4 linked regions of the Saccharomyces cerevisiae S288C genome follow. Changing the gene in region 3 together with the main gene of any one other region gives a genetic interaction. Each region holds a gene or a part of one and is shown on either strand. Other genes may lie near its edges.

What was found.
Region 1: mutations in MED4 (region 3) and FHN1 together harm fitness less than expected from each alone (positive genetic interaction), as found in Saccharomyces cerevisiae (one large-scale study listed by BioGRID).
Region 2: mutations in MED4 (region 3) and KAP114 together harm fitness more than expected from each alone (negative genetic interaction), as found in Saccharomyces cerevisiae (2 studies listed by BioGRID).
Region 4: mutations in MED4 (region 3) and COS8 together harm fitness more than expected from each alone (negative genetic interaction), as found in Saccharomyces cerevisiae (one large-scale study listed by BioGRID).

What each region holds. Positions count from the first base shown.
Region 1 is NC_001139.9:751,831-756,625, forward strand, and holds FHN1 (Fhn1p), read left to right. Parts: upstream 1-2,895; coding exon 2,896-3,420; downstream 3,421-4,795. Other genes in the region: YGR130C (uncharacterized protein), read right to left, coding at 1-2,014; prohibitin subunit PHB1, read right to left, coding at 3,759-4,622. UniProt on the Saccharomyces cerevisiae protein: Involved in membrane organization. Required for the formation of membrane compartments of CAN1 (MCCs), localization of CAN1 at the MCCs and subsequent invagination of the plasma membrane at the MCCs sites.
Region 2 is NC_001139.9:43,241-48,959, forward strand, and holds KAP114 (karyopherin KAP114), read left to right. Parts: upstream 1-2,204; coding exon 2,205-5,219; downstream 5,220-5,719. Other genes in the region: TAD1 (tRNA-specific adenosine deaminase), read left to right, coding at 67-1,269; ankyrin repeat-containing protein ANK1, read right to left, coding at 1,412-1,957; anaphase promoting complex subunit DOC1, read left to right, coding at 5,373-5,719. UniProt on the Saccharomyces cerevisiae protein: Required for nuclear protein import and mediates docking of import substrate to distinct nucleoporins. Serves a receptor for nuclear localization signals. Mediates the nuclear import of TATA-binding protein (TBP) and of histones H2A and H2B.
Region 3 is NC_001147.6:655,062-660,101, forward strand, and holds MED4 (Med4p), read left to right. Parts: upstream 1-3,685; coding exon 3,686-4,540; downstream 4,541-5,040. Other genes in the region: YRM1 (Yrm1p), read left to right, coding at 1-1,509; DCS2 (5'-(N(7)-methyl 5'-triphosphoguanosine)-(mRNA) diphosphatase), read left to right, coding at 2,203-3,264; ALE1 (lysophospholipid acyltransferase), read right to left, coding at 4,754-5,040. UniProt on the Saccharomyces cerevisiae protein: Component of the Mediator complex, a coactivator involved in the regulated transcription of nearly all RNA polymerase II-dependent genes.
Region 4 is NC_001140.6:3,586-9,086, reverse strand, and holds COS8 (Cos8p), read right to left. Parts: upstream 2,687-5,501; coding exon 1,541-2,686; downstream 1-1,540. Other genes in the region: ARN2 (siderophore transporter), read left to right, coding at 1-736; YHL048C-A (uncharacterized protein), read left to right, coding at 3,290-3,424; YHL049C (uncharacterized protein), read left to right, coding at 4,546-5,361.

The sequences.
Region 1 (4,795 bases), on a different chromosome or scaffold from region 3:
ACTGTTCTTCATGAGCGCGGCGCTCATCTTCGAGTCTTTTGGTAATTGCCGATAGTTGAGTTTTTTCATTGGCGTTTTCCTGCTTGATTATGGTCACTTCGTTCAATAAGCTTGATATTTGATTATCAATATCATTAATTTGTGGAAGATATTCCTTGTTCTCTACACTTTCCAAAACTTGTACATTTTTTTCATGCAGCTTCTTATTTTCTTCAGTTTGGGTAACCAAATCCTCCTTTTTCTTTTCCAGATTATCGATTTCGTTTTGAACTTTGCCTTGTTTCAAATTAATCTGGTTAATCTTAAAGATCTGAGCATCCAACTGTTGAGATAAGTTACTTAAGTTCGTGGTCCAGTCATTGAACTCCTTTTGGACATTCGTTTTCTCATTGTTCAAATCATCGATTTCTGACTTAACGTTGGTTTGTTTGTCCAAGACCTCATTTTTCTCCTGCAACTTTTGGTTTTTCATATTTTCAGTGTCTTTTAATATCATTAGTTTCTTATTATTATGCTCGGCATTAACATCAATGATTTTTTTGACCAACCGGTTTTTACTAACTTCAATTTTCTCAGAAGTTTCTTCTCTCATGGCCTTCATTGAATTTTCAATTTCGTCAATCTGATTTTGTAAATCTTGTAGCTTTTCTTTGTATTCTTTATTTTTAGCATCATATTTATCCTTTTCCTTTGCTCGAAGATCAGCTAACCATGCTTGATGAATTTTTTCATCATAATTGATTTTATCATAAACTGCCTTTGATAGGTAACCATGTTCTTTTGTCTTTACAATTAATTCAGGATTTTCTGGAGTGGCCACTGGATTGGATGGAGCGGCGGTCTTACTTTTTTGGGTAGATGAAGAAGTAGGGCTTTTCCATAAAGCGAAAATTCCGGTTCTTTCCTTTCGAGAAGGTTCCTGAAAAGGGACCTTGGGAGCCTTGCTTGGATCGATTGGGCTTTCATCTTCTTCGGATTCCGGTTCCGAGGTTTCTGGAGTAGACGTTCTCTCAGCAGATTCCTCTGCAGACGATTGTTCGGTTTCCTCTTCTGCATCCCCTTCCGCTTCCACTTCCTTTTTTTCTTCCCCACTGGGAGGATTGACTTTTTTTACATCGGATTTTTCCTCCTTTTGTTCGTCTGTTGGCACGACACCTGACTTTGAACCGCCACTTTGATCTGTAGTGCGTGGTTCCAACACCCCATTCTCGGATGAGATTGGTTCCGCTACATTAATTTGAGCTGAATCAGCAGTGCCTTTGCCAATTGAAGTAGACTCACTCACTTTGTCTTCATGTTCTTCCTCCACGGAAGTTGCTTCATCAGCACTATTTTCGACAGCATTAGTAGTAGAAGTGCTGGTAGTAGAAGTACTGGTGGTAGTGGTTGTCGTAGTTGCAGTGTCAGCAGTTGCTTCAGTGGCCTCAGATGTGGTAGTAGAAGTAACGTCCCCTTCATCTGATGAAGACGATGACGATGACGATGACGATGACGATGACGATGATGATGTAGAAGTGGACGAAGAAGTAGTAGTGTCAGTGTCATCTTTTTCATCCTTAGTTAAGTCAGTAATTTTCTGGCACTTCTTCAAATATTTCAAATGTTTCTCCTTTAGTTCCAACTCAGTTAGTAACTGATATTGTCTTTCTTCATTTTGAGTTAGGTAAGTTGGAAATCTAATATCTTTGGCTCTCTTAGCATTTTTTGGTATGTTTTTGTACCCTAAATCCTTAGGTTGCTGTTTTGAATAGGCAGAAGTAGCACTTACGGTAGGAAACTTTCTGTTTTTTGCGTCTTCCCCATATGCCCGGTTGTTTTGCCTATTGGCGAGGGCATCTTGTCTAAATGGCGAGACCCACTCTTCCTTACCTTTTGGCTCATTGGACACAACCTTTTGCAAAAACTGATAAGGGCTTTCCTGCTGATGCGCTTGCTGATTTTGCGTATTTGCCGAAGATTGATTGATCAATTGCGTAAAGGGGTCGTCTTCTTGACGGTTGATATTGAATAGCATGTTTTGAATACGTAGTTGATTGACCTCTTTCTTTTAATTGCGTGCAGCTGCTCTCAGGTTTAAGATGTACGAGGGTCCACGGGGTAGCAAGCACAAGAACGATGATATATATGACAGAACGATGGATAAGAATGGTATGTTGTCTGCACTGTTCAGCATTCGACTACCCCTCTCCCGGTTCTTTTCTCCTCGTTTCAATTTAAAAAAGCAACTCGCTACCCGGCCGCACACCCCTTATTCCTGTTCAGCCGTTTAAGGTGAGAACCCTTTACTTCATAGCCTTTGTAGATCTTTCTATTGCTACCATTGAAGGGTCGGTGACGTGGAAATTTTGACATTTATCAGTGGCGTATTGGGAGGCAAGCAATTGAAAGAACTGTGATTTATTTCCGCTTGTTCGAAATTATTGATGTTTAGCACTTTGCAGTAGCGACAATACAATATATGTGCTTTTAGTGCTGGGATAGTTCGTAGCTCCATTTCGGGGCGCTTGTTACATTTATTGTATATGCGCGGATGTGGCACATGCTGTTGAGATCTCACTCCTTTGGTATCTCTTTCCTGCGCCGCATTGTGCCGGCAGAATGTCGCGCTTGTATTCTCATGAACTTTTCCTCTTTACGAACCCTTTGGCGGCATGCCGTTTAAAATCTGTTGAAGATTTCCTTTACGAACAATGAGCAATGTTTTGCACAGGCAGGTGGGAAGTAGGGCCTATCGCGCCTTGGATGCAGATATAAGTATAAATATAAATTATAATAATTGGCTGTATCAGTAAATCCTTCTTGCGATGGGAGGAAGCACGATAGAGTATGTTAAGCTTTTGAGAGGCTTCATATTCATTGGAATTTTAAATAACAATAAAGCAACAACAATAATAAATGCTATCAGCTGCAGATAATTTAGTGCGCATCATAAATGCTGTTTTTCTTATTATATCCATAGGTCTAATCAGCGGCCTGATAGGTACACAGACAAAGCATAGTTCTCGAGTGAACTTTTGTATGTTTGCCGCCGTTTATGGTCTGGTTACGGATTCATTATATGGGTTTTTGGCTAATTTCTGGACATCATTAACATACCCAGCAATTTTGCTTGTTTTGGATTTTTTAAATTTCATATTTACGTTTGTAGCAGCCACCGCTTTGGCTGTAGGTATAAGATGCCATTCGTGTAAAAACAAAACATATCTGGAACAGAATAAGATCATACAAGGCTCAAGCTCCAGATGTCATCAATCTCAGGCTGCTGTTGCGTTTTTTTACTTTTCCTGTTTTCTATTCCTCATCAAAGTGACTGTGGCCACGATGGGTATGATGCAAAATGGTGGATTTGGCTCTAATACCGGATTCAGCAGAAGGAGGGCAAGAAGACAAATGGGCATACCTACAATTTCCCAGGTTTAAGCCTACTGGACTGAAAAAAAGGCAATTCGCGTACAATTTTCGTTGATCGTTCTTTATATAACCTTTGCATTAAATAAATTTAACAAAAAAAGTTCTTTCTAAAATAATATTATGGTGATACATGAATGTGCTTTAGTTTTTTCGTAGGCTCATCCATGTATATATATAAATGATAAAAAACTAAGTTACGATATTGATAGCATACGTATTCGTGTTGGTAACTAAATGGAAAGATGGAATATGTTATTGGCGTTGTTATCCCCCATATATACAGGTTTCTAATATGATTAAAAAAAAATTTTCTCCCCTAGTTTATTGTGTTCATAGCTTTTCCAGACTTAACGGCCAATGTTCAAAAGCAAGGAATTTGGTGATCCCGAAGACTCGCTGTTACCACCACCAGAATGTTGACTTGGTAAATAGACAACGTTAGATGAGTTTGCTAATGTTTGAGCGATGTCCTTAGAAGCTTCTAATCTTCTAATCAATAACAGACCATCACCAACTTTAGCTAAGGCTTTTGAAATGAATTCAGCACTTTCTGCTTCACCTTCAGCTCTGATAACAGAAGCTTGTCTCTCTTGCTCTGCCTTTTCGACAAGGAATTTGGCTCTTTCGGCATCTTGCTGTGCAATCTGCTTCTGCTCAACTGCTTTCGTGAATTCGGGACCAAACGTCATATGAGTGATAGAGACATCTTCCAACTTAATACCGAATTCGTTGGCCCTCGTAGAAAGCTCTTTTCTGATTTTTTGAGAAATAATTTCTCTCTGAGTAATTAACTCAGCAGCATCAAATTGAGCTACTATAGACTTTAAAACCTCATTGCCGATAGATGGTAACACTCTTTCGTCGTAATCGAGACCCAAATTTTGGTATATTGCGGGTAGCTGTAAGACCTCTGGTCTATGTAAGACTCTCAAGGTCAATGACACCATTTGCAAATCCTTCGTACCAGTATTGGTAGCAATGCTCTTTGGTTTCGTCCTCACATCGTATATGATCGCCTTCTGTAGCCAAGGCACCAAGAAATGAGTGCCTTCACCCACAACCTGTTGCTTTACACCATTGATTCTGTCGAAAATAACACCACGAGAACCACCCTTCACATCATACATGGAGTACTGAATCCCGCTAGCAATTATACCAATGGGCAACGCCACCTTGGTGATGACATCGATAAGTTTGGCAGAATTAGACATTCTTTTCTAAAGTAAATTATTGATTTTGAATGTAAGTTTCGTACCGTTGATGGTTGGTTTACCGATTTATTTTTTTTCCTCTTCTTTCTGCTTAATATTATATACCTCAACCGTTGCATCCATGAGATCGTCAAACTCCCTTTCCCTGAAATTTATTGATGCGATACATTCGC
Region 2 (5,719 bases), on a different chromosome or scaffold from region 3:
AAATAATACTATCATCGTTGTGATGCAAAAAAAAAAAAAAATGAACAGAAAATAATAGTGATGTGAATGGTTTCGTGCCAAGGAACAAGGCCATGCATAGTAAACCTTCTCACTATGCCAAGTGAGGATAAATTGGGTGAAGAGATATCAACGAGGGTGATTAATGAGTATTCAAAACTAAAATCTGCCTGCAGACCAATAATTAGGCCTTCAGGTATCAGAGAGTGGACAATATTGGCAGGTGTTGCAGCTATTAACAGAGATGGCGGTGCGAATAAGATAGAGATACTTTCCATAGCTACTGGTGTGAAGGCTTTGCCAGATTCAGAACTACAAAGAAGTGAGGGGAAGATTCTGCATGACTGTCATGCAGAAATACTGGCATTACGAGGTGCTAATACAGTTTTATTAAACCGTATTCAAAACTATAATCCATCAAGTGGTGATAAATTCATTCAACATAATGACGAGATACCTGCCAGATTCAATTTAAAGGAAAACTGGGAGTTGGCATTGTACATCTCGAGATTGCCCTGTGGTGATGCCAGCATGAGTTTCCTGAATGATAATTGCAAAAATGATGATTTCATCAAAATAGAAGATAGCGACGAATTTCAATACGTCGACCGTAGTGTGAAAACAATATTGAGGGGACGCTTGAATTTCAATAGAAGAAATGTCGTTAGGACTAAACCAGGAAGATATGATTCCAATATCACTTTATCTAAATCCTGTTCTGATAAATTATTAATGAAACAACGGTCGTCGGTACTGAATTGTTTAAATTATGAACTCTTTGAAAAACCTGTATTTTTAAAGTACATTGTGATTCCTAATTTAGAAGATGAAACGAAACATCATCTAGAGCAATCATTTCACACTCGTCTACCGAATCTAGATAATGAAATTAAATTCCTGAATTGCCTCAAACCATTTTATGATGATAAATTGGATGAGGAGGATGTTCCTGGTCTAATGTGTAGTGTCAAGCTCTTTATGGATGACTTTAGCACCGAAGAAGCGATTCTTAATGGCGTGAGGAATGGATTTTATACCAAATCATCGAAACCACTGAGGAAACACTGTCAATCGCAAGTAAGCCGGTTTGCACAATGGGAACTATTCAAAAAAATAAGACCAGAGTATGAAGGAATAAGCTATTTGGAATTTAAATCTCGTCAAAAAAAGAGAAGCCAGTTAATTATCGCAATAAAGAACATTTTATCTCCCGATGGTTGGATACCCACCAGAACGGATGATGTGAAGTAATATATATATATATTGTTGAATATGCGTATATGCACACTTTTTTGTTAGTGCACCTTAAAGAAATATATACACAGTAGAAATATCTATATATCCAGAGTTCATCTATCTTTCCCTCTCTGTGGTATTATCATCACATATTTTATCATTTTTTATCATCTTCTTCGTCATCGTCAGATGGACCATCATCTATCATTTCCCCATCCTCATTGTTATCACCTGATCCATTGGTACTATCAATCGCTAACTCGGCACCCTGCAAAAGGTCAATTAATTCATCCAGTTCATCACCATGAACCAAATCAACTGGCTTTTGATTGTTATAGTTTCTCACCCTAGGATCCGCACCCACTTCAATTAAGTTTCTAGCAATAAAAGTTCCATGCTCAGGCTCCTCTTGACTGTATCTGACAGTAACATGTAACGGAGTGTCGCCATCAACGTCGTTTTGTGGGTCTATTTCGATTTCACCGTCTTGATCGAGAATCTTGTCGAGAACTTCCCAGGATCCATACTTACAACATAAATGTAACGCTGTATTCCCCAGTGGTTCTTTGGATTCGTTAATTAGCTTTGCAATCTTCTCAGGATCATTATCTAAGCTATCAAATACGGTCTCCAAAAGATCCAGATTGTTTCTTCTAGCTGCATCCAGCAATTGTTCACTTAAAGAAGCACCTTCAGTATTCATGATCAAAAAAAGAAACTAATTTATTTTGTGAAAAACTTCGACTTCTTTCACTTATGACTTTTTTCACTGGGATTCAGAAACTACCTCACAGGACCCCTATATAATGAATTTATTGTCAACCTTTCTATCAACGCGTTATACCTTGGGTATACTAGGAAAAAAAAAAAAAGATACATATGGATGTATATGACCTGCATACACGATCCGAAAATCTTGAACGTAATTGTAACACTATCAACACATTAAAATGGATATTAATGAATTGATAATAGGTGCTCAATCAGCTGATAAACACACTAGAGAAGTTGCGGAAACGCAATTGTTACAGTGGTGTGATTCCGATGCATCTCAAGTGTTTAAAGCGCTGGCAAACGTTGCCTTACAGCACGAAGCTTCTCTAGAATCGAGACAGTTTGCTTTATTGTCGTTAAGAAAATTGATCACCATGTATTGGAGTCCAGGATTTGAATCATACCGTTCTACATCGAACGTCGAAATAGATGTTAAAGATTTTATCCGAGAAGTGCTACTGAAATTATGCTTAAATGACAATGAAAATACCAAAATAAAAAATGGTGCATCTTACTGTATTGTTCAGATATCTGCGGTTGATTTTCCTGATCAATGGCCGCAGCTTTTAACAGTTATTTATGATGCTATCTCTCATCAGCATTCATTAAATGCGATGTCTTTATTGAATGAAATTTACGATGATGTCGTATCTGAAGAAATGTTCTTTGAAGGCGGAATTGGCTTGGCGACAATGGAGATCGTTTTCAAAGTACTCAATACAGAAACTTCTACTTTGATAGCCAAAATTGCTGCTTTGAAGCTACTTAAAGCATGTCTTCTACAAATGAGCTCCCATAATGAGTATGATGAGGCGTCACGAAAAAGTTTTGTCTCCCAATGTTTAGCTACTTCTTTACAGATATTGGGACAATTGTTGACTTTGAATTTTGGAAACGTAGATGTTATTTCTCAGTTGAAATTTAAATCCATTATATACGAGAATTTGGTTTTTATTAAAAATGATTTCTCTAGAAAGCATTTCTCAAGTGAATTACAAAAACAGTTCAAAATAATGGCAATCCAAGATCTGGAAAACGTTACCCATATAAATGCAAATGTCGAAACTACTGAAAGTGAACCCCTTTTAGAAACAGTTCATGATTGTTCTATTTATATTGTAGAATTTTTGACTAGTGTTTGCACTTTGCAATTTAGTGTTGAAGAGATGAACAAAATTATAACATCTTTAACCATTCTTTGTCAGCTAAGTTCTGAGACAAGAGAGATATGGACAAGCGATTTCAATACATTTGTATCGAAGGAAACAGGCCTAGCAGCATCATATAATGTTAGAGATCAAGCCAATGAATTTTTTACTTCATTACCCAATCCTCAACTTTCCCTAATTTTCAAAGTTGTTTCCAACGATATAGAACACAGCACGTGTAATTATTCAACTTTAGAATCTTTACTATATCTCTTACAGTGTATTTTGCTTAATGATGATGAGATAACTGGTGAAAATATCGATCAATCTTTGCAAATTTTAATAAAAACGTTAGAAAATATCTTAGTATCACAAGAAATACCAGAATTAATATTGGCGCGTGCAATTTTGACTATTCCCAGAGTACTAGACAAATTTATAGATGCATTACCTGATATCAAACCCTTGACATCTGCATTCTTGGCAAAAAGTCTTAATTTGGCGCTAAAATCTGATAAAGAGCTCATTAAATCCGCAACATTAATAGCATTTACGTACTATTGTTATTTTGCCGAACTAGATTCAGTCCTTGGACCAGAGGTCTGCTCAGAAACCCAGGAAAAAGTAATTCGAATAATCAACCAGGTTAGTAGTGATGCCGAAGAGGACACTAATGGGGCTTTAATGGAAGTATTAAGTCAAGTCATTAGCTACAATCCGAAAGAACCTCATTCAAGAAAGGAAATTTTACAGGCTGAATTTCATCTTGTGTTCACGATCTCATCCGAGGATCCAGCAAATGTACAGGTCGTTGTACAAAGTCAAGAATGCTTGGAGAAACTATTGGATAATATCAATATGGATAATTACAAAAATTACATTGAATTATGTCTCCCATCATTTATTAATGTGCTAGATTCCAACAATGCAAACAATTATAGATACTCACCCCTGCTATCATTAGTCTTGGAATTCATCACAGTTTTTTTGAAGAAAAAACCCAACGATGGATTTTTACCAGATGAAATAAATCAATACCTATTTGAACCATTAGCAAAAGTATTAGCGTTCTCTACTGAAGATGAGACCCTACAGTTAGCCACGGAGGCATTCAGCTACCTGATTTTCAACACAGATACACGAGCCATGGAGCCAAGGTTAATGGATATCATGAAGGTTCTAGAAAGGCTGCTGTCTTTGGAGGTATCGGATTCAGCCGCTATGAACGTCGGTCCATTGGTAGTTGCCATATTCACAAGGTTTTCAAAGGAAATCCAACCGTTAATAGGAAGAATTTTGGAAGCCGTTGTGGTAAGGTTAATTAAGACACAAAACATTTCTACTGAGCAAAACCTTCTTTCTGTATTATGCTTCTTAACGTGTAATGATCCTAAACAAACGGTGGATTTTTTGTCTAGTTTCCAAATTGACAATACTGATGCTTTGACATTGGTGATGCGAAAATGGATAGAAGCCTTTGAAGTCATTAGAGGTGAAAAAAGAATCAAAGAAAATATCGTTGCTTTGAGCAACCTTTTCTTCCTGAACGACAAAAGGCTACAGAAAGTGGTTGTCAATGGTAACTTGATACCATACGAAGGGGACCTGATCATTACAAGATCAATGGCTAAGAAAATGCCAGACAGGTATGTACAAGTTCCACTTTATACCAAGATCATTAAATTGTTTGTTTCTGAGTTAAGCTTCCAAAGTAAACAACCGAATCCAGAACAATTGATCACAAGCGATATTAAGCAAGAAGTGGTAAATGCTAATAAAGATGACGACAATGATGATTGGGAAGATGTAGATGATGTACTCGATTACGATAAGTTGAAAGAATATATTGATGATGATGTCGATGAAGAAGCAGACGACGATTCAGACGATATAACGGGACTCATGGACGTGAAGGAATCTGTTGTTCAGCTACTGGTAAGATTCTTTAAAGAGGTTGCAAGCAAAGATGTGAGTGGCTTCCATTGTATTTACGAGACTCTATCCGACAGTGAACGTAAAGTTCTTTCAGAAGCCCTTTTGTAGCTTATATACATAAGCCGTGGAGATATCAGATGTAAAGTAGTTAGAGTAGAAAAAATGCGGCAAAATAAGCGCCGTCTATATAAAAGAAAGAAAGTGTTAAATAAACTGACCACAGAAGGTGGCAAAAATAATACGAGATTTAGAAGTCAGATAATGGACCCGATTGGAATAAACAAAGTCTTGGACCATTTAGCACCCTCAGAGCTTATCAAACCTGTTAAGAGTTGCCATAATAAACCTTCAGTGTTGGTGTTGGATGACAGGATTGTGGATGCGGCAACCAAAGATCTCTACGTGAATGGGTTCCAAGAAGAGATTCAGTATCAGAATCCTACACCGGAGAACTTGCAACATATGTTCCACCAAGGTATTGAAATATTGGATTCGGCAAGGATGATCAACGTGACACATTTAGCGCTTTGGAAGCCTTCTTCTTTTAAGTTGGGGAATCCTGTGGACTTTGCTCTAGATGATAACTACGATACGTTTTGGCAGAGCGA
Region 3 (5,040 bases):
ACTCCGGAAGAGATAGAGAAATTTCTCATCATGCTGACGGGACTGTCAACAGCTAAAGTATATTTCATTGAACGCGCTCAATTTCTCTTATTGAAATACTATCATCGAGAACTAATTTGGGCGTGTGGAGACGATTCGCATATGATTAGTCTAGTTGACTTATTATGCAGCACGGCAATTATGCTGGGTTTACACTTGAATATAAGAGAAATATACAAAAATCAAGAAAATATTGTGGGGAGTATGGAAAGTTTGGAAAATTTGTGGGTTTGGATTATATTATCAGATTTCAATGTTTCTTTAAATATTGGGAGATGTTTGGCGATTAACTCATCCTATTTTCAAGTCGATGAATGCGAGAATGGTGAGAGGTTGCCTAAAAATACAAACAATTATTCATCGACGGTTTTTTTCGATCAGTCAAATTCCTGCATGGGCAAGCTTAAAAGGTTTTTAAGATTAGCTCGACCAATGCTAGATCAAATTTATGATAGAAGCGCATTTCCAGACTTAGCCGAAAATTGTAAAAAACTAAGAAACTTTGTAGAGACTGAATTCCACCCAATATCATATTACACTGACAGTGAGTTAATATCTAAAGTTCCTTTGTGCGAGATTAAAGTGCTTGCGCAGGTTTTGAATTTGTTGTTGACGTTTTATTCCTTGAGGTATTTGATTTACAAGGAAAAAAGCGTTGTTTTAGAGAACAACATCCTGCAAACCATTTTGGTCTCTTTTTCCCTTGTCATCAATACGACCATACTGTGTTTTAACCTAGATGAGAAGCATTTTCCTGAGTTTTTTGATCATAATTGCGTTCATTTACCGCCATTTATGGCCTTGTCTTTAGTATACACAAATTTCCTTTTTCCTAGGGCCTCTACTGGCTTTTGTGCGTTTTTGTATCATAAGTTAACTCTTTTTGAGAAGGGCTATTATCTATCATCCAACATCAAAGATCAAGAAGTCACAGATTGGGATTTGTCAACCTTGAATATCCCGTTGGATAAAGCTATGAACTTACTTACTGCTTTCAAAATACATTCAGATATATTTGCTAAATGGTCTAATGATAACAACAAGCAGTTAAGAATTATTATGGCTCGCTCTTATACATTTGTTATCAACATCGCCCTGGAAAGCATATATAGAGCTGTTTTGGAAAAAGTAATCAAATATAGAACCGAGGTCGAAAACACATGGTTACAACAACTCCAAGACGAATTGAATGGGTCCTATTCGCTCACTGACAATGTAAATACTCCAATCGATCCCAGTTTAAGTGACCTGGGCGTCACAAGCGCCAGTCCATTGGCGGGAAATTCTCCAGGATTACCCCCGGAGGAAGTGCGAAATAACAGCGAAAACGCTTCGCATAACAATGAAACTGGGCCAATTGAGACTGAACTGGCACAGACAATATCCAACGAATTTTGGACGGCGTACAACCTTGGCTGGGAGGAACTAATGAGTCAGCCAGATTATAAATATTTATTTGATACGCAGTAGAGGAGAAGTTCTTTTACAAAAAAACATGCTTGCGACAGCAGCTAGATAGAAAACTTGCATATTGTAATGGAAGACAGTCGAGAGCAAGCCATTGGCTTGGACTTGCGCTTGGACCTATCTTTCGGACCAACTATTTAATGATTAGTAAGACAAAAATGACATTTAAGCATCTATAAAATAAGAAAAATAAAAAAATGAAGGGAAAAAGCTAAACACTAACTTCTTGACCAAACAAACAAGGAAAAGCCAGTAATTGCGTGAACAAAAGGCACCTGCAATTGTTCTGATGGATGTACTTTGTCCAACCTATTCTGCAAGAAAAAGAAATCAACTCCAAAGAAGTATGGAGCTTACTGGCACTCTAGCCTCCAAAAGCTGTTAAAGTGTTCATTCGATTGTCAAAAATCTTCCCCATAATAATCACCCACCTCAACAAAATACTTCCACTTAATTATTGATCGATTAGAGCTAGCGTCAGTGATTATATGCTAGTCCGAAAGGACAGCCCCATGACAGCGGCCGCGCAGACGCCTAGGGGGGAAATAAGGGGTGACAATACCAATGAGTATAAAGGCAGAAAGAAGAGAAACAGAAGCACGGGGGTTTCGTTTGGTCTTCAAATATATGTTAGGTCGGTACCTTTTCATTGCAAAATTGAAAAGATTTGAGCGTGTAAAAGTAAAAAAATACATGATGGGTTCCCAAGATTTAGCTAGTTTAATTGGGAGGTTTAAATACGTCAGGGTGTTAGATTCGAACCCTCATACAAAGGTAATCTCACTACTAGGCAGCATAGATGGGAAGGATGCCGTGTTAACTGCTGAAAAGACGCATTTCATATTTGATGAAACGGTACGTAGACCCTCTCAAAGTGGCCGTAGCACTCCGATTTTCTTTCATCGTGAAATAGACGAGTACTCCTTTTTAAACGGTATTACTGATCTGAAGGAATTAACTTCGAATGACATCTACTACTGGGGGTTGTCTGTTTTGAAGCAGCATATTTTGCATAACCCAACTGCGAAGGTTAACTTAATTTGGCCCGCCTCGCAGTTCCACATCAAGGGATACGACCAGCAGGATTTACATGTCGTCAGAGAAACTCCTGATATGTATAGAAACATAGTTGTGCCCTTTATCCAAGAGATGTGTACCAGCGAAAGAATGAAATGGGTAAACAACATTCTTTACGAGGGCGCCGAGGATGATAGAGTTGTTTATAAGGAATACAGTAGCAGGAATAAAGAGGATGGATTCGTCATCTTGCCCGATATGAAGTGGGACGGAATCAACATTGATTCGTTATACCTGGTCGCGATCGTGTACAGGGACGACATCAAATCTTTGAGAGATTTGAACCCAAACCATAGAGATTGGTTAATTAGACTCAATAAGAAGATTAAGACCATCATCCCCCAGCACTATGACTATAATGTAAACCCGGACGAGCTAAGAGTTTTCATTCATTATCAACCTTCATATTACCATTTTCATGTCCATATAGTGAATATAAGGCATCCAGGAGTAGGCGAGGAGAGAGGCTCCGGAATGACAATACTGTTGGAAGATGTTATAGAAGCGTTGGGTTTCTTAGGTCCTGAAGGTTATATGAAGAAGACGCTTACTTATGTCATTGGTGAAAATCATGATTTATGGAAAAAGGGCTTTAAGGAAGAAGTTGAAAAGCAACTGAAGCATGATGGTATCGCAACCAGTCCTGAAAAAGGCTCTGGGTTCAATACCAATTTGGGTTGAAGGTAGAAGAGCAGCACTATTTTTTCATGTGCTGAACTTCAGGAAGCGCCGGCTTATATAAATGTCTTATTTAAATGTTTGTGTATACATCTCAATGGATTTTGAATTTTAACATAGAATGCGAATGCACAGTAACATAGTACATTCAGTTGCTATTTTCCGTATAAGCTTTCTTTCCCTTATAGCATACATAGCCTTTGACGTATTGCCAGCCTTTTCAAAGAAATGCGAAAAAATAGTGCATTACCACCTACGTAAGGTAGGCTGGAGAAAAAGATAAACTTTTGCATTCTCTGCTCACCATACCGCGAAGGAAAGTAGTTATAACGTGTCCCGTTTTCAACAAGGTTTTCTGGTATATTGTTAACGGTGGAGAAAGCATCTAGTATCAATTACTTCCAGAGTACACACAACGAATGTTATGTCTGTCCAAGATACTAAAGCGGTAGAGTTTTCTATGGGTCACATCAGATCATCCTCTGTATCCCTGGTAGCAGAGGCTACTTCAAACACGAATAGTGAAGACAAATTATCTAAGGTCCAACTCTACGAAGATTTGTGCCGGTACGAGGATACATTGAGTAAGTTGGTGGAATCTGTAGATCGTTTCAAACCAAACCTTGATATTGCCAAGGATTTGATCAGAACTGATGAGGCCTTGTTTGAAAACGTCAAACTGTTAGCTGAATATGACAATATCTACCGCAACTTACAGAAGATTGACAAAGACTCTGAAGAACTAGATTCTAAAACCAGGAAGATATTGGAAATTCTAAATGAATGTCATGACGAGTTAAAAGCACTACCGATGCTTGAACAAGTAGAGTTCGAGAAAAACACAATTTTACAGCAAAGATCGAAAATCAATTCGACAGAGTTGTTGGATTATGCCACCAAACTCTCCAAGTTTACCAAAATACCACCAACGTTCGACAAGGGAGCTGTGGGACCCAACAATTTTATATGGCCCGCAGAGGATGCCCTACGAAGAGGAATGCTTGCTATGGCCTCATTACATAGTAAAGAGCTAACTAGAATACCCGGTGAAGAAGTAGAAGAAACAGAAGTACCGACCGTACCGCCATCTCAAAGTGAAGAACAAAAAGGGCAGATGGCCAAGAAAGAAGGTACACCAAAGACAGACTCGTTTATATTTGATGGTACTGCTAAAGAAGTTGGTGATGAGGCAGACAATACCAAAGATAAAGAAAAGGAAGAAAATAATGATGATGCCCTAGATCTTGATCTTGATCTGTTTGATCCGGACGACTTCTAGTTGCAGTGTCTTGAATCTCTTCCTCGTTAGGAATGAAGAAAAAAAAAAGTTAGACAATAATTCGTGTAGGTAAAAGCGTATATAAAATTACATATATAATTTACTGCAATATGTCAAAGTGTATGAAAAACATTTGAAAGTAAGTTCCCACAGGAACTGGAAAATAAGACAACAAGACTGTGACTTCCACACGCATCTGTCGTTTTTGGCCATCTACTCTTCCTTTTTTGAAATAGGCTTTGGTGAGTAACCACTAAAACTCATTTTTCTCACACGTTCACCTGATCCACTTGCAGCGTTAGAAAATTCCTGCTTGAATCTTTCAAAAGCTTTAGAAAGGTTTTCCTCTTCTATTTCAAGACCATTTTTATTTCTCCATTCTTTGTAATCTTTGCAGAAATCTTCCCAATCTTCCTTAGCATTGTCCCACTTTTCTAACTCAATTGGTGGAATACCTAAGTTCATTTCTTCTTCTTCTGCTGTCTTTCCCTTTTCATGTT
Region 4 (5,501 bases), on a different chromosome or scaffold from region 3:
CTACACCATTCTAGTAGTTGCGGTAGATGAGAGCGCTTCCTCAGCTACAAGAATAATAAACTTATACTCTTTTGTGACTGCTGTTGTTGCTCCATTTCTGGGGCTCATCGTTACGAGATCATCTAGATTGAAGTCGTATATTATTTTTGGTGGCTCACTTTATTTCATTACTATGGGACTATTTTACCGCTACAGGTCAGGTCAAGACGCCGATGGAGGTATAATTGCTGGTATGGTTATTTGGGGTCTCAGTAGTTGTTTATTCGATTATCCTACAATTGTTTCTATTCAGTCGGTAACATCCCATGAGAATATGGCTACTGTCACAGCATTAAACTATACAGTTTTCAGAATAGGTGGAGCAGTTGCAGCTGCCATTTCCGGTGCCATATGGACGCAGTCATTGTACCCTAAATTATTGCACTACATGGGAGACGCTGACCTGGCTACAGCAGCATATGGCTCACCACTAACTTTTATTCTTTCCAATCCCTGGGGTACTCCAGTTAGGTCTGCGATGGTTGAAGCTTACAGACACGTTCAAAAATACGAAGTTATTGTTGCGCTTGTATTTTCAGCGCCTATGTTCCTTCTAACATTCTGCGTAAGAGATCCTCGGTTGACTGAAGATTTTGCCCAAAAGTTACCTGACAGAGAATATGTCCAAACCAAGGAAGATGATCCTATCAATGACTGGATCGCGAAACGTTTTGCAAAGGCCTTAGGCAGGTCATAAGAAAGATTTACAAAACCCCAACAGGATATGTGTTCGAAAAAATGATCTCTGATATGCGCAGTAATTTTTGTATGGTACATAAGATGAAGCAAGATAAGTGATAGTAATATTTGTTACCATGTATATGTTTAATGTGATAACACAAAAGCGTAATATGAGTAATGTTTCAGTAATGTTTCACACATAGAAAACATATAGTGGAAAACGTATTGTAGCAAACCTCTAATCCGGTAGTACTTGAGAAATTATAGCTTCTGTGTACAAAAACAGTACCTATGTAATTCTTACATTTACATAACATATATAAACTTACTACATTATGACATATAAGCTAAATCGTAATTTACTACGTCAACAATATGTCATAGTGTAGTGATATCATTTGCGATTATATCCTACAAAAAAAAAGCACTTATATGACCAAAAATGTATTATCTGGATTTTAAGTTACCGCTTTAATATATGATGTTCTAATGTGAAGCCTGTGTACATATTGATTAGTATGAAAACATTATTGAACTTTCATGTTAATGACACCATGGCAGTATTCTTACCCCAAGTAAAGTGTTTCAGTCTTATTGCTAAAGGGTAGAATATTTTTATATTTAGGTGATTTTAGTGGTTATTTTTCTATAACAAATATTGAAAATAAGTGTTTTTGAATTTAGTGGTTATTGTATGGTGTAAAGTGATAAAACATATGCGAAAAGGAGTATTAATAATAATAAACAAGTAAAATACGTTTTGACTTACTGATATTCGATCAACTACACATAGTATATTTTGGAAAAGGAACATTTGTTCCTACTTTAGGGGCTTCTCATTGCGGGCCGATTGCGCTTCTTTAATGTATGGCCATAGCTCAACGTTCAACGAAGCAAACCACATAGGTTTTTTTAAAGATAAGAGACGATAGAAAAAGCGCCTAAAAAACCATTCGCAGTCAAGTCCATCGTAGAAAAACTCTTCATTATTCCAGACTTTTTTCTCAAACAAATACCTATTCATTTTCTTTGCAATTTCGTCCCATCCATTCGCACCACTTTCTTGCTCATTTATAATAGTTGACAAGAACTGCATCTTGTGTTCCATTTTCACGGATAAAACAATCATCCTCATATTTTGGAAATCTCTCGTCATGATAAAAAACATTACTACCGGAAACAAGAAACGTGATATAAGGTCAGCATTTCCAGACGTGTAGACAATTAAAAAATAATAAAGGAAGAGTGGTAAACACCGCAGGTTGAAAATCCTTTTAAGAATCCAGGTAAGCTTAAATCGGTAAGCTTCTTTGGGGAGCTGAATGTCTTCCAGGTCGAAAGGACTCTCTTCCTTCTCAGTATTAAACAGCTTCCACTCTTTGTCAAATCCTGCAGCATACACTTGCAAGGCCTCTTCGATATAAGGAACGGAATCCTTAAATGACTTAACCTTTGCAGATTCGTCTTTTTTTAAAGAGAAGGGTTCGAGAAGGGTTGTTTTAAACGCTTTTTGGCAGCTCATGGCATTGAAAAAAAAGTACTTGGTATTCCAAGTCTTATTTTCATAGAAGTACGAATTTAGATTTGCTGCAACGACTTCCCAATCATGAGGATCCGAACTTGGTGTGTCTTCAGTAATCTCTTTGCAAAACTGAATGAGTTGTTTCGATAAGGAACGCTTACGAGAAAGTCCACAAATAACAAGGACAAAAAATGGTCCCAGGAACAGGACAAGAAGTGAAACTATAAGTGGGTGAATCCAATTGCTGGAAAGTTTCCACCAGACGCTAAGTGGTAGCCATAACAGCATCCAGATGCGAAACGCTAAAGACTTGTAAATTTCATAACAAAACCAGGTCAATTCGTTTCGGAAAACATCTTGAGGTAGAACGGTCTTTTGGAATTCGAGCTGTTTGAAGGATAACACATCTACGCTTTTCTCATCTTTGACTTCATTCTCTTTCATTTTCGGTAGTGAGATGGCAGTTCGAGGGGTTTTTTATTCGAAATAGTAACTTCTGACTTTTCGCTTTTATACAGCACAGCAGAAAAAAAAAGCCGCCGAGGCGCGCGCGTTCATGCAATGGCTCAGTAACCTCGTGATAGAAAAAGGGAAACAATATTGGGCTATTTTAGGCAAAGAAACTCAGCTATTCGAAAAGGGCATCCATTTCATTTCCGGTTTTCTATCTAGCCAACTCGATAATCGTAATAACGAATTTACAAAACTTTAATGCGGGTGCATCACGGTGTGCCGTAACTTTGGTTTACATTTAAGGTGCGACCAGCAATGTCACTGCTCGTACAGCGGTTACCGCTTGAATGAAATACATATTTTAAGCGTAGATTTCCTGTGACAAAACTGTGTAAACATCTAGTAGAAAATAGACGTAGCTGTCACAAATATTTACACAGGAAAGAGTCCGTCCTACGTATCTGACATGAAGATTCATAGAACCAAGTTACTTACAAATGTGGACAACCTTTCAATACCATTTTTTATCCTTATGCTTGGTGTCACTGTAAAATTGATCAAGGCAAAACCTAGAGGTACGGTGGTGCTCAGATCATGCATGACATCTGGGTAATCACCACTTCTCCCGCTTGCTTTGAGATTCTGTATAAATATTGCAAACAAAAGGGTAGAGCACGGATGGGAGGCCTTATAGTAAAAATTATTCGTTTTAATCATGCGTCAGTGTGAGATTCTATGACAATAGTATGAGAAGATAGGGTGAAGTAAAAGCGTCTGTATGACTATAGAGTACAGTTATATTACAATATATGGAATAGAGCATAGTGGTATGACGGTATTAAGGAACATTTAAGTTAATGACGTCATGGTGGTATTGATACGCAATTGAGTGTGTTTATGTACTATGGTTGAAGGATAGAATATTTTTATGTTTAGGTGATTTTAGTGGTGATTTTTTTGTAATATTGGCATAAGTGTATATAAATTGAGTGGTTAGTATACGGTGAAAAAGAGGTATAACGTATGTATTAAGAGCAGTTATACAATATTTGGGGCCGCCGAATGAGATATAGATATTAAAATGTGGATAATCGTGGGCGTTATGGGTAAATGGCACAGGGTATAGACCGCTGAGGCAAGTGCCGTGCATAATGATGTGGGTGCATTTAGTACTGATTTAGTGAGAGATGGGTCATGGAGTGGAGTAGAATGTGAAAGTAGGGTAAGTTGAGAGTGGTATATACTGTAGCATCCGTGTGCGTATGCCGTACCAGTATACAAGTGCAAGTGAGTGTGGCATGTGGTGTGTGTGGGTAAGTACGTGTGTATTATTTACGATCATTTGTCAACGTTTCAACATGGTGGGTGGGACATGGAGCATTAGGAAGTGACTTGGTACGCCAAAAAGGGCTCCTCTACCTCAGCGGGGTAATAAAATTTATCCACGAAGCGGCTGAGCAACGAACAGAATCCTGGTTCTCCTCGACTAAGCAGACGGTTAAGATACTGTGCACCATGGAAATTGAAAACGAAAGCACGTACCGACTGCTTTATTTTTGCAGGCCGGAAATCAAGCGATGAATGAGACATCCTTCTGTTTTCTATGTTGGGACAGACAGTCGCTTATCTTAGTGAGATTTCTTATTAACTGAATTTTCTTTGCTGCTGCTGGAGATTTGCACCTGCATAGCGCAGATTCTGCTTCTTCTCAATAGAGTAGCTTAATTATTACATTCTTAGATGATGATAAGACGGAAACTGGACAATCTTTTGTTTATATTGATGGATTTCTTGTCAAAAAGCATAACAATCAACATACTATTGTTAATTTCGAAACTTACAAAAATAAAATGAAAGTTTCCGATAGGCGTAAGTTTGAAAAAGCAAACTTTGACGAGTTTGAGTCGGCTCTAAATAACAAAAACGACTTGGTACATTGTCCCTCAATAACTTTATTTGAATCGATCCCCACGGAAGTGCGGTCATTCTACGAAGACGAAAAGTCTGGCCTAATCAAAGTGGTAAAATTCAGAACTGGTGCAATGGATAGGAAAAGGTCTTTTGAAAAAATTGTCGTTTCCGTCATGGTCGGGAAAAATGTACAAAAGTTCCTGACGTTTGTTGAAGACGAACCAGATTTCCAGGGCGGACCAATCCCTTCAAAGTATCTTATTCCCAAGAAAATCAACTTGATGGTCTACACGTTGTTTCAAGTGCATACTTTGAAATTCAATAGAAAGGATTACGATACCCTTTCTCTTTTTTACCTCAACAGAGGATACTATAATGAGTTGAGTTTCCGTGTCCTGGAACGTTGTCACGAAATAGCGAGTGCCAGGCCGAACGACAGCTCTACGATGCGTACTTTCACTGACTTTGTTTCTGGCGCACCTATTGTAAGGAGTCTTCAGAAAAGCACCATAAGGAAATATGGGTACAATTTGGCACCCCACATGTTTTTGTTACTACACGTAGATGAGCTATCGATTTTTTCTGCATACCAAGCAAGTTTACCTGGCGAAAAGAAAGTCGACACAGAGCGGCTGAAGCGTGATCTATGCCCACGTAAACCCACTGAGATAAAGTACTTTTCACAGATATGTAACGATATGATGAACAAAAAGGACCGATTGGGTGATGTTTTGCATGTGTGCTGCCCAAGTTGAGAAGAGATACTAACAAAATGACCGCGGCTCTCAAAAATAATTGACGAGCTTACGGTGATACGCTTACCGTTATCCAGAGCTACAGCGCAACGTATACGTCGACGATACAACAAGAACGGTTCATCGGAGCCTCGACTAAA